Nothobranchius furzeri: one gene and its partners. The protein of the gene in region 3 interacts with the protein of the main gene of each other region in a biochemical or structural test. Links are inferred from orthologs where the notes say so. Each region holds a gene or a part of one and is shown on either strand. Other genes may lie near its edges. The genes, in order: eps15, BTB/POZ domain-containing protein kctd15 and tfap2a.

Region 1 (3,653 bases), on a different chromosome or scaffold from region 3:
GGCTACATTGAGTGTGACTTCTCGTCTTCTGCGCATGCGGGTCTCTTTGGGGCTGTGAAGCGTTCACACTGGAGAAAGTTTGATGCCGCATGACCACATCATGACCTCCCATGCCTCAATGCTTCACGTCATCTTTAGTGCCAGGATAAGTTTTCAGCAGCAGATGGACTTGTTGTCTCTGTCGCCTTAGTAGTTGTCAGCATGTTACCAACTTACTATTCAAGATGATCAGTTTTGGTTCTCCATTCATGAAAACTGAAAGTGAGGAGTGAAAAATGGTATTCCAGCCCAAACACACACACACACACACACACACACACACACACACTGTATGATGAGGCTAGAAACGAAGGCCGGTGTCGGATCAAAATCAGAAAAATAAGAGGATGATACGTGTTTGCAGCTGCTTCAAATTTTGGCAGCAGCCGTTTGCCCCAAATAAGGACGTTAGTCACCGTAATTATAGCTAAGATCAGACGAGAGCAGACTCTAGAGTTCCTTCTGAAATATTATCTGATGAATTATACATCCTGATGTGTGGTGAGGGTGAGAATATAAAAGGAGAGAGTGGGTTTGACACTTTTATTTTTACCCTGTACTGATGTGGAAGCAGAGAATAGCTGCTGATCCGTTTGAGGTATTTTTAAACGAAGCGACTGGAAGTGAGGCAGAAACGAGAGCTTTGCCTTTGTCCAGAATATCGGTTCACACCGTTCTGTTATTTTATTTTTTTACCTTTTGCATTTTTAACAATTTTACTAACCTAAAACGTACCAGCTTCAGCAAACATGCGGATACAGGAAATAAAACACCTCCTTTGCCTTTATTTTAATATTGTTTTTATTTTTCTCACTCATCAAGGGGAAAACTCACAGCCCAGTCATTTCAGGGTTTCAAAAGTAGGACTGGATAAAATCTCTTGCTGTGTGAAGCGGTGAGGGTAAGAGGAAGAGCGGGTAGGGTTGCACACATGATGGATGTTTCTAGTTCGCTCTTCATGACTCATCTCTCCCTCTCTCTCTCGCTCTCTCTCTCTCTCGCTCTCTCCATCCCCATGCCTCCATCTGTTTCTCGCTTCTGATACCCCGCACATCTTTCTGCACAGGCACACACCGTCTTCCCAACCCTCATCGAGCCAACAGCAGTGCATCACAGAAGTCTTACATATACCTCGTTTTTATTCTACATTTTAAACATTTCCACACCACTGCCATTGATTTTGAAGCAGCTCCTTGATTTGGGAAGGTGTGATTTTTGGGGGCAGGATCATGGTGTTTGAGGGACGGGAGGTGACGGTGTTTGACAGAAGGGGTGAAGCAGCAGACACCTGGCTGTGGCTGGGTGGGGTGGGATTTCCGGGTCCAACCTGTCTGTCCAACATGGCTGAATACTTTTGTTTGCTGTGCTGGACCCCCAGAGAGAAGAGCTCTGTGGAAGAGGAGATCAAGGAAAACGAGGAGGCCATTCGACAACGCAGCAGCGAAGTGCAGGTAAGGTTACATTTTCTGTTGCTGCAGATAAAATTTGTGGTTGGGGTTGGTTGTCTGGCCAAAGCTTGAGCTTAACGTGTGTACGAAGCAAGACAAATTAAAACTATTCCAGAGATATACGTATGTGTTAAAGCTGTTGTTTACTTTAACCAAAATGGAGATGATGGAGGAGGTTAATGATGCTGTCAGTCTACAGTCTGGGATGCTGCTCTGAAATGTAGTTAACATGGCTCAGGTTGCTTTCCTCCTGTGGGCGTGTCTGTTTCCACAGAGGCTGATCGCCTCTATTTTAGGAGCTGCTCTGCTTTTGAGGTTCCAGTCTGGATGTGAGGAAGGATGGGAGGTCTGATACTGATGCGGCCCAACCCCTCCAGCTCTCATTCACTTCATATAGTCACGTATGCCCTAGTCAGAGATGATCCACAGATGCTTCACATAGTCAAGTGTAAAACCGACACTTGCCATGCACGATGAGGCATTAAAATAGTATAAATAATGAAACAAAGACGTGTGTGTTCAATCTTGTTCTGTTTTGGTCTGCTTGTTAAAAAAAAATCTCTCTGCATACTTATTATTTATTCTTTTAAATCTTGTTCTGTGTTTTTGTCTGAAGGACCTTCAGGATGAGGTGGCGAAGGAGAGCGAGGAGCTCCAGCGACTCCAGGCTCAGCGTCAGAAGGTCCAGGACGCTTTGGACGAGCTGGATCAGCAGAAGAGCTCGCTGGAGGAGCAGCTCAGCCACATCAGACAGCAAACTAGCCAAGAGACCAACCTTGTAGGGTTTTAGTTATTGTCACCTATTGCCTACTAAACCGGGGAGATTTTAGACTATTTTATAAATAAGTCAGAACTGATTTTTGTTGTTCCAGATCTCGTCGTTGCAGTCGAAGCACGAGGAGCAGGAACACAGGATAAGTCAGTACGAGGAGGAGCTCGTCCAGGCGCGAGAGGAGCTTCTGGCTCTGCAGGAGGAGAGCAGGAAACTGCAGGAGAAGGTTCAGGCTGCTCAGGAGCAACTCACGCCACTCCATGAGTCCGTCCGTGACTCCTTTACACAAGTTTCGCAGGTCAGGAACTCAAACGTGATTTCTTCGGTGTCGGCGGTCTCAACCTAAGACCAGCTGGGCCGTCTGACTGAAAAACAACTCATCTGATCTCTACATTTTCTAGTTTTCTTTATAATTATTATAAATCTGATTCTGTAGAGATGGAACTTTTTTATTGCCAGAGGTTAAATAAAATACACATTAAATCACCTCTTTTTTTTTTCCTTTTTCTCTTGGTTATTTTTAGGTTCAGCAGAAAGTCCAAGACCTTCAGGTGGAGGAGAGGTCCGTGACTGCACAGCTGAGCTGGAAGAGGGCTCTGGAGGACAGCTCTCCAGTCATGGTGAATGGCTCACCAGGCTCCACAGCAGAACCGGACCTCTTCCACGAGGACCAGCCGAAGAAGCTGAAGGAGGAGGAGCCAGCTGCTGCCTGCAGTCAGCAGAAAAAACACTCAGACAAGAAGGAGAAAGAAGGAGAAGAGAAGAAAGAAGAAGAGAATCCAAAGACTGTGGAGGAAGAAAAGCTGAAACCCGATGCCCTGGATCATCTCTACAATAGTTTTGCTTCCTGCGATTTGTACAACTGTCTGTCTAAGCCACAAGAGGGCGCTGTTGGGGTAATTACAAACTAAGAATTCATTACATTCACTGAAACGCCTATAAAATCAGGTAAACTCCTAAAGTTCAGCAAACAGACATTTCTGTTGTTGATTTTCAAAATTTTTCCTGCAGATTTAATTAAACTCTTTCTCACCTGAGACAATTTAACATTGTTGCTGCATTAAAATCAGCAGGGAAACGGCAGCTTTGCACCTGATGGTTCTTCAGAGATCAACGACGAAGATGATGATGATTCACCTAAAGGCAGCCCGCTAAAGGTCAGATTATTCACACTTCTATCTTCAACCCAGACGCTGAAGTTGATTATTCAAGACAGGATTCATAAAACATGTATAAACTGTAACTGTGAAGATTCTAGTCAGCACCATGTCACCTCCCTACAGGTGGAGTCCCCAGAGCCAGAGAGCAAACCAGAGCCAGCAGACTTGACAGAACCTGCCATCCCCTCGTTGCCTCCTCAGGTTGGACCTCGCTCCATGCCACCACAAACGAGC
Region 2 (3,653 bases), on a different chromosome or scaffold from region 3:
GTATTTTAACATCGTCCTTGTAGTTTTATAAGCTGATGATTAAACTGAAGCAAACATCTTTACTGTGAACTAAATTTACTGCGTATCTTCATTCCTTTTGCCGTCTTTTTTCATTTGATTTTTCCTACTGGGAAGTTAGAATTTCCGAGGAGAAAGTGAACGCACCATTAGCTGATAACAATGGTGGCAATGGAATAATTTATCAAGCTAACGTTATCTTAAACAGTTTATTTAGCTGCTGGAGCAGATTAAAACGATGATGCCTCACACTTAGATCGTTGTCGCTGGTTTCATCTTCACCCAATCACCCGTCGCATTTAGTAAAGTGAAGCCAAACTTTAGAGCGCGTTCATGTTCTTCCAGTGGGAAATTCGGAGTTCAGAGGAGAAAGTGAACGCATCATTAGCGAAACGGAAGCTAACATATCAAGCTAACGTTATCTTAAACATTTTATTTACCTACCGGAGCAGATTAAGATGAGGATGTCTCACTTAGATCGTTGTCGCTGGTTTCATCATCACCCAGTTACCCATCACATTTAGTGAAGTGGACCCAAGCTTTAGCGTGCGTTCTTTCTACCATGCTGCTCTGTTTACAACTGGCTCGCAGTGACCGACGACATAACGCTCTTGCGCATGCGCAGCTGTCTAGGCAAGTTCTCGTTATGAAGGACGGGTACCGAAATGAGGCGCCGTTTCAAATGACGTGAATCGGTGCTCAGTCAGTTCTATGGAATTCGGTACCCATCGTTAGTTACTTCCCTCCTGCCTATGTTTTGAAAGGAGAAAACTGACAATCCAGCAACTTTCCTTCATAAACGACTGAAACATTAGACTCTTTTGTGAAATTCTCACTATATTCTTACATACTGCACCTTTAAAAAACACATTCAGAGACCAGTTTATCCCAACTTCTCTCTTTATGCTTAGAAAATCTACAACCAGGAGCTCGGCTACATTTAAATCACCACAAATATGTTAAAGTGACCGTTTATAATCGCAGAGGATTAAGCTGTCATTCTTTGTCTTTGTGAAACACTAATCAGAACACGGCTGTAATAATTACTGATTGTTTAGCAAAAAGATTTGCAGTGTTTAGGTGTAACTTAATTAGATCTCGTTCTAATAGGAGCTTAACATCGAGCCACAAGCCTCATTAACACAACCCCCCACCCATATGAGGAATACATAAAAAAACTCCTTTTCTGATGATTGTCCTCATGTTCGCGTGCACATATCTCCCTCCTCTCTGTGTTTTCCGTGGTAGCGGTGAATGATGGTGCCATCTGGTCTTGTGGGAAATTAGAGGCAGGCGTACGGGGGCAAATGGCCCCCAGCAAGCCCTGCCCGGGAGTGAGAGGCAGGCAATCTGCTGCACACAGGAATGCACCATCCCACTCCACTGGAGCCCCACCGACGGCCCTCAGAGAGCCGGCTCGCTAAAACATGCTAAAGGCTAGCAAAGCCGAGCGAAGAGCCACGGTGGAGGAGAGGTGCGGCGTGGCGTTTATGGGGAGTGTTGTCCTGCAGGTCATTGGCCCTCACAGCTTATCATTATTGTTGTTGTTGTTATTATTATTTGTCCTTTTGTGAGCGGTCTTATCTTTATTTTACTAGCATTTGTTTTTATTTAAATAAAAATGATCAGAAAATGAAACTTTTTGACGTTTTAAGTGTTTTTTGTGTAAAACAAAAATTATAAATAATTCCTGAACAGCCTCAGTTTAGAGAAACATAGTTCACGTTGCTGCCATCTTAAATCAGCCGCATTCTTAATGTGATGTTATTTTGTAAACATTTTCATCTCCAGCAGCCTCCATGTTATGGGATTATTTAGTCAGAAAAATTAAAGAGCAAGTCACCCCCTACCAGAGTATAACTCAACTCCCACTTCCTGTTTGAAAAATGCAACAAATGCTTTGCCTAGCAGACCGAGAGGGCGGAGCCACTGACAAATACACACACACAGAGGCTCACAACGACTTTGTGACATCATATGGTACCAGCTAACTTTCTAGGGTACCTCTTAGCCAATAGCGATGACATTTAAATTTAAATGCAGTGCAGAGTTTTTACCTGACAACGGCACAACACTGACCGTTTTAGGCAGAAAATGAACTAAAATGCACTAAAGTGCAAAACTACTGACTACACGTGTCTGCAGCACAATTAGACACACATTTATAAAGTTTATCAGGAAAAAAGTTGATTTGGGGGTGACTTGCTCTTTAAGATTTTACTGCTGTACTGACTTTACTCTTTTTATTTCTTTGCTTTAATCAAAGTCTAAATAAAGTCCATGTTGATTTTCAAGAAACTCCTGAAGACTCGGCTCTTCTAAACTAGGACCCTCCCAGCACCCGTCCCCACTCCGTGTTCGCTTCCCTCTGTGATTGATTATGCTGCCTGACTGACTGAATGGTGTTTGTTGTTAGCCTCAAGGGCAGCCGGATGGCTTGATTATCACCTGTAAGTCGCTTTGGACAAAAGCGTCTGCTAAATACATAAATATGCACAAAAGACCAGATGTCATTTCTGATGATTTACAGATGATTGCTAAATAAAAATGCACGTTTAAAGCTTTACAAATGTCTCCAGACCACTAAATGAATCAGAACCGCAGTTAAAATACGGTACACTTTAGTGGTTTTTAACCTGTTTGGATGCTTTTGGTGGCGACAGACTCACAGAAATCGCTTTCATTTGTTTTAGATTTGCATAAAAACGTCTCTATTGGGCTTGTTGTGCATGAAGACACGGGAAACATGATGTCACTTGGATTAGGAGGAACCAGCTCGGCATCAGTCATGCAGATTTAAAAACTCTTTGAAACTTAAAACAGGAACAGAATCACGTGGTAAATTCATCGGAGGGAATTTTCTTGTCCGGTTGATTCATTTTAAAGACAAATCCCACTATAAGTGAGAAATGAAAGCTGGAATGAAGATTGGGACGTTTTTGGACACAGCCACACACTTCGGTCTCTGACTAGCCGTTAGCTTGTCAGTCCCTCGCTCTTTCTCTGAACAGAGTGTTCAGGACTCTCTCTCCAGCTTCTACACAGAAACACGATTCAAACAGCTGAGATACGCATTTAACACCGACGCCGCTGACATCACCGCATGATGTAATGATACTCTCCTATAGCAAAGGTTTGGTTCTCTAACAGAAGGAAATCGGACGATATTCTTTCAAAAGGATGTCGTAGTTCACTGATCCATGACTGCAGTCAGTTATTAGCTCCTCCATGCATACCTGTGCTGCCCAACTGCTTTCTCACTCCTGTAGAAAGGTCAAACGACAGAGGGCCACTGGTGGAGGAGTGACAAAACAGTCCTGAGATGCTTTATCCAGAGTTCAGACCTAACCGGTGCTTGTTCCTGTTAACTCACCGCTCTCCTCTCCGCTCTCGGCCGTCTGCTCAGGACTTCCACCTGCTCTACGAGGAGGCCCGCTACTACCAGCTGACGCCCATGATCAAGGAGCTGGAGCGCTGGAAGCAGGAGCGCGAGCAGCGGAGGATGGCGCAGCCCTGCGACTGCTTGGTGGTCCGGGTCACGCCCGACCTTGGCGAGAGGATCGCCCTGAGCGGCGAGAAGGTCCTCATAGAGGAGATCTTCCCCGAGACTGGAGATGTCATGTGTAACTCCGTCA
Region 3 (3,653 bases):
AAACGATGTATTCTTACTGCATCAGAACGTAAAACAAACCCATGCGTAATTCCTTATCCAGAATGATTTTTTAAAAGACATTTTTTTTATTTCTAAGGGCCCCGAAACAAAAAGCTGAGCCTCTCCATGCACAGCGATAACACCATGACACTTTGCAAAGCGCACTAACGAGAGAATTGAGTTTGCTGTATTGAGTTTTGGGACCTCTGCGATCGCTAAAGACGCCTGATGAATGAATGAGCCCTGAGTCCGTCAATAAGCGCAAGCGCGCGCGCTCATTTTGAGATTTTCTCCCCAGTTTTTAATCAGAAACAAACAGCTATAATTCTCTAATTAGTTCATAGGCCTTTAATAGGCTGCACCGCCGTAATTACTAACCAATCTGGATGAGAAGTTCCGTGTGAGGGGAGCCAATCTGCAAAAAGGAGGTCAGGATTATGGGGTGATGTGCTTTCCTTATTTAAGTCTTAGTTCAGATCTGGAAACTCGGATAATAATACTTTATTAATTATAACAGCAGGTAAATAAATAAATAAGGCCTTTCGGTTGTGCTCCTTGTTGCTTTAGCGCTTTGTTCATGTGCAACCTCTTTAAAATCACATGTTTCTGTGCGTAATTCGTGCTAAAATTGCACCTTTTTTTGCATTTGTGTCACAGCCTGTTGAGGATCAAGGAATCCACATTCCCGACCAGACTGTAATTAAAAAAGGTAAGCAATTTCCTCTGAGATATCTTGCATTTTTTTCTTCAAGCTTCTCTCACACACACACACACACACACACACACACACACACACACACACACACACACACACACACACACACACACACACACACACACACTTCCATTCTGCTCCAAAGAGCTCGATGCAATGTGGTAATGCCTGACTGATCCTAATACGCAGCACAGCCTATTTTTCATTACATGCTTTCCAAGTGCATCAAACTGGCTGCACCTTTTTCTTTTTCTCTTTTTTCCCTCCTTCTCCTCCCCGATGATGGAATTTACTGTCAGCGTTTCGGCGCAGCAGGGAGATGAGTGGAGCTGCTGGGGCTTTGGAGGCCTCAGCTATAGATGGTCAAAGACGCGCAGAGACGACCCGGGCACACTTTTTAGGAAGCAATATGCGCAATTACGCAGCATGGATAAATGTAAAATGGAAGCTGTCACCCGCTGGACAGAGCGTGTGTGCAGGATTTCTGTGCAGCGTTTAGGAGAGCATACGAAAATGGGAAATTTGAACTAAATTTTTTTTCATCTATTAATGAATAAATCTACCATGGATTAGATTTTTACACTCTTAAAGGCTCAGATTAATAAGATCCTGGGATATATTTTTGCTTCTCTTCTATATTATTTTTTCCTAAAATTTCTGCAATTTTTCCAAATTTCTAAATTTTTTCTTTCAGACTCAGCCCATCTGCACATTCACGTGATAATTGGCTTCTTATATTAGTAATCTCAAGAGTTCGTTTAGCTCCCATTGTCTCTATTAGGCTCCCTTGAGCCATTAATGTCACAAGTGATCTATCCAAAGGCGCACAGTCCCCCTTTGTCTCCGGTTACTGCGCACCAAAACGGCCTGCCACAACTGCGCGTTCCCCTCCTCCCTCACAACCCCCCACCCCCACCCCCCACCACCTCGGTGTGAAATCACACACGGGCGACGGTGTTTTTGCTGGAAAATGACGATGAGTCAAAAAAGGTGGATTTTATTGAAAAGAGCGCTTTTAAAAATGTTTTTTTAGGCTGTTGGTTCTCACCAAATTATTACTTATTTTATTATTATTATTATTATTGTTATTATTGTTGTTGTTATTGTTATTGTTGTTATTGTTATTATTATTTATGTGATCGATGCAGAAGTTCTTCTTCATTTACTTAAGGCTCTGCATTGCACGAAATTCACTGACCACGCGCTCTCTCTCTCTCTCTCCCCTCCCTCCCCCCGGTCCTATAGGTCCGGTGTCTTTATCCAAGAACAACAGCGTCTCCGCCATCCCCGTAAATAAGGACGGTCTTTTCGGAGGGGTGGTTAACCCAAACGAGGTGTTCTGCTCGGTTCCGGGTCGCCTGTCTCTCCTCAGTTCCACATCAAAGTACAAGGTCACGGTGGCAGAGGTGCAGAGACGCCTCTCGCCGCCCGAGTGCCTCAACGCCTCTCTGCTGGGCGGGGTGCTCAGGAGGTGAGTCTGACTTCACAAAAAAAAAAAAAAAAGAAAAAAATCTTCTTTCACCTGTGTTTGCGTGCACGCGCTCTCCCTCCGGCCTGTGAGCGCGCATCCCTCTCTTTTTTCCTCTCCTCTGTATCAAGAATAATTAAAATCGACCAACCATGACACCTAGCTCCTGCATTTAGAGCAGGAGGGGTCTGTTAAATTCCATATTAACACCCCCCTCCCCCCTTTCAAATTAATGTAGGCCTAGTCTGTTTCAAGCAGCTCTGCAGACCCAGTGAAGGCATTACACATGAAAACATTGGTCTCCAGTGAAATGCCGACTGAAGTGCTGCAGACACGCAGCCAGTAATAGCTCAGCCTATTAACTAGGACTTTATTTATTCACTTTGTGCTATAAGTCCGCTGGTAATCAGGCTGCGGCTCTATTTTGATCGTATTTATTGCTCATGTGCAGATTTGAACGTCTCAACTTCAATATGAAAGCCATCCATATTTTTTTTGTCAATTCTCTGGCTGTAATTTTGTTTTTCCATCATATTTCTGTCAAATTTAGATGAATTCCTGCATATGAATGAATTTCTTCTTTGTTTTTGCGTCTCAGGGCCAAGTCCAAGAACGGAGGGAGATCCTTGAGGGAGAAGTTGGATAAAATCGGCTTAAATCTACCTGCGGGGAGACGCAAGGCAGCCAACGTCACCTTGTTGACGTCACTAGTGGAAGGTAAGTCGTGGTGCCGTAAATCCTATACTTAAAAAAAATATATCCCTTCTCTCTCTCTCTTTTCCTCCCTCTCTTTTTTCCCTCTGTGTTGGAAATCAGCATATGCGCTCATCCGTGTAATGTGGACCGACTTTGCCTCGCAAGTAATAAAGCATGAAGGATGTGTATGTGTGTGAGAGTGTGTATGTGTGTGAGAGTGAGTGTGTGTATGTGTGTGTGTGTGTGTGTGTGTGTGAGAGAGAGAGAGAGAGAGAGAGAGAGAGAGAGAGAGAGAGAGAGAGAGAGAGAGAGAGAGAGAGAGAGAGAGAGAGAGAGAGAGAGAGAGAGAGAGAGAGAGAGAGGTGCTGGTTGTGGCTCTGCTGCGTTATTGGCTTCCTCTTTCAGGAGCGCACTTCCAGGCTGGCCTAGTTTATCCTCCGGATTAATTTGTGTTGAAGTCCAGTTAATTATTGAGTGCTGCTTGTTTATTGGCCACCGCCGAGCTCTTTCACCTCATGGATGAGGAGTCGATTGATTGCACCCTGCATTAATACAAGTCTGAATATAGTAGATTTCTCGCCCTTCTCTATCCCTTGTTTTATTATTTTTTTACTTCCTCCTTTAATGGCTCCCCATGCTTTCTACTTTTCCATCGAAGATTTGTATTGCATGCAAATGCGTCGCGCTGACCTATGGAGATCTATGTTTTGGGCCTATTAAAGAATAAATTAGGCAATTATTGCGAGCAGACGAGATGCTTTTTTCCTGGATAAA

What was found.
Region 1: the proteins of tfap2a (region 3) and eps15 form a complex in vitro, tested with the Homo sapiens proteins (2 studies listed by BioGRID). The link is inferred for Nothobranchius furzeri from reciprocal best matches to the Homo sapiens genes TFAP2A and EPS15.
Region 2: the proteins of tfap2a (region 3) and BTB/POZ domain-containing protein kctd15 form a complex in vitro, tested with the Homo sapiens proteins (2 studies listed by BioGRID, with this or other methods). The link is inferred for Nothobranchius furzeri from reciprocal best matches to the Homo sapiens genes TFAP2A and KCTD15.

The regions. Positions count from the first base shown.
Region 1 is NC_091748.1:56,876,946-56,880,598, reverse strand, and holds part of eps15 (epidermal growth factor receptor substrate 15), read left to right. Parts: intron 1-1,417; coding exon 1,418-1,490; intron 1,491-2,103; coding exon 2,104-2,265; intron 2,266-2,359; coding exon 2,360-2,557; intron 2,558-2,783; coding exon 2,784-3,155; intron 3,156-3,329; coding exon 3,330-3,416; intron 3,417-3,542; coding exon 3,543-3,653. UniProt on the Homo sapiens protein: Involved in cell growth regulation. May be involved in the regulation of mitogenic signals and control of cell proliferation. Involved in the internalization of ligand-inducible receptors of the receptor tyrosine kinase (RTK) type, in particular EGFR.
Region 2 is NC_091749.1:70,105,666-70,109,318, forward strand, and holds part of BTB/POZ domain-containing protein kctd15, read left to right. Parts: intron 1-3,424; coding exon 3,425-3,653. UniProt on the Homo sapiens protein: During embryonic development, it is involved in neural crest formation. Inhibits AP2 transcriptional activity by interaction with its activation domain.
Region 3 is NC_091747.1:57,671,859-57,675,511, forward strand, and holds part of tfap2a (transcription factor AP-2-alpha), read left to right. Parts: intron 1-657; coding exon 658-709; intron 710-1,960; coding exon 1,961-2,186; intron 2,187-2,781; coding exon 2,782-2,900; intron 2,901-3,653.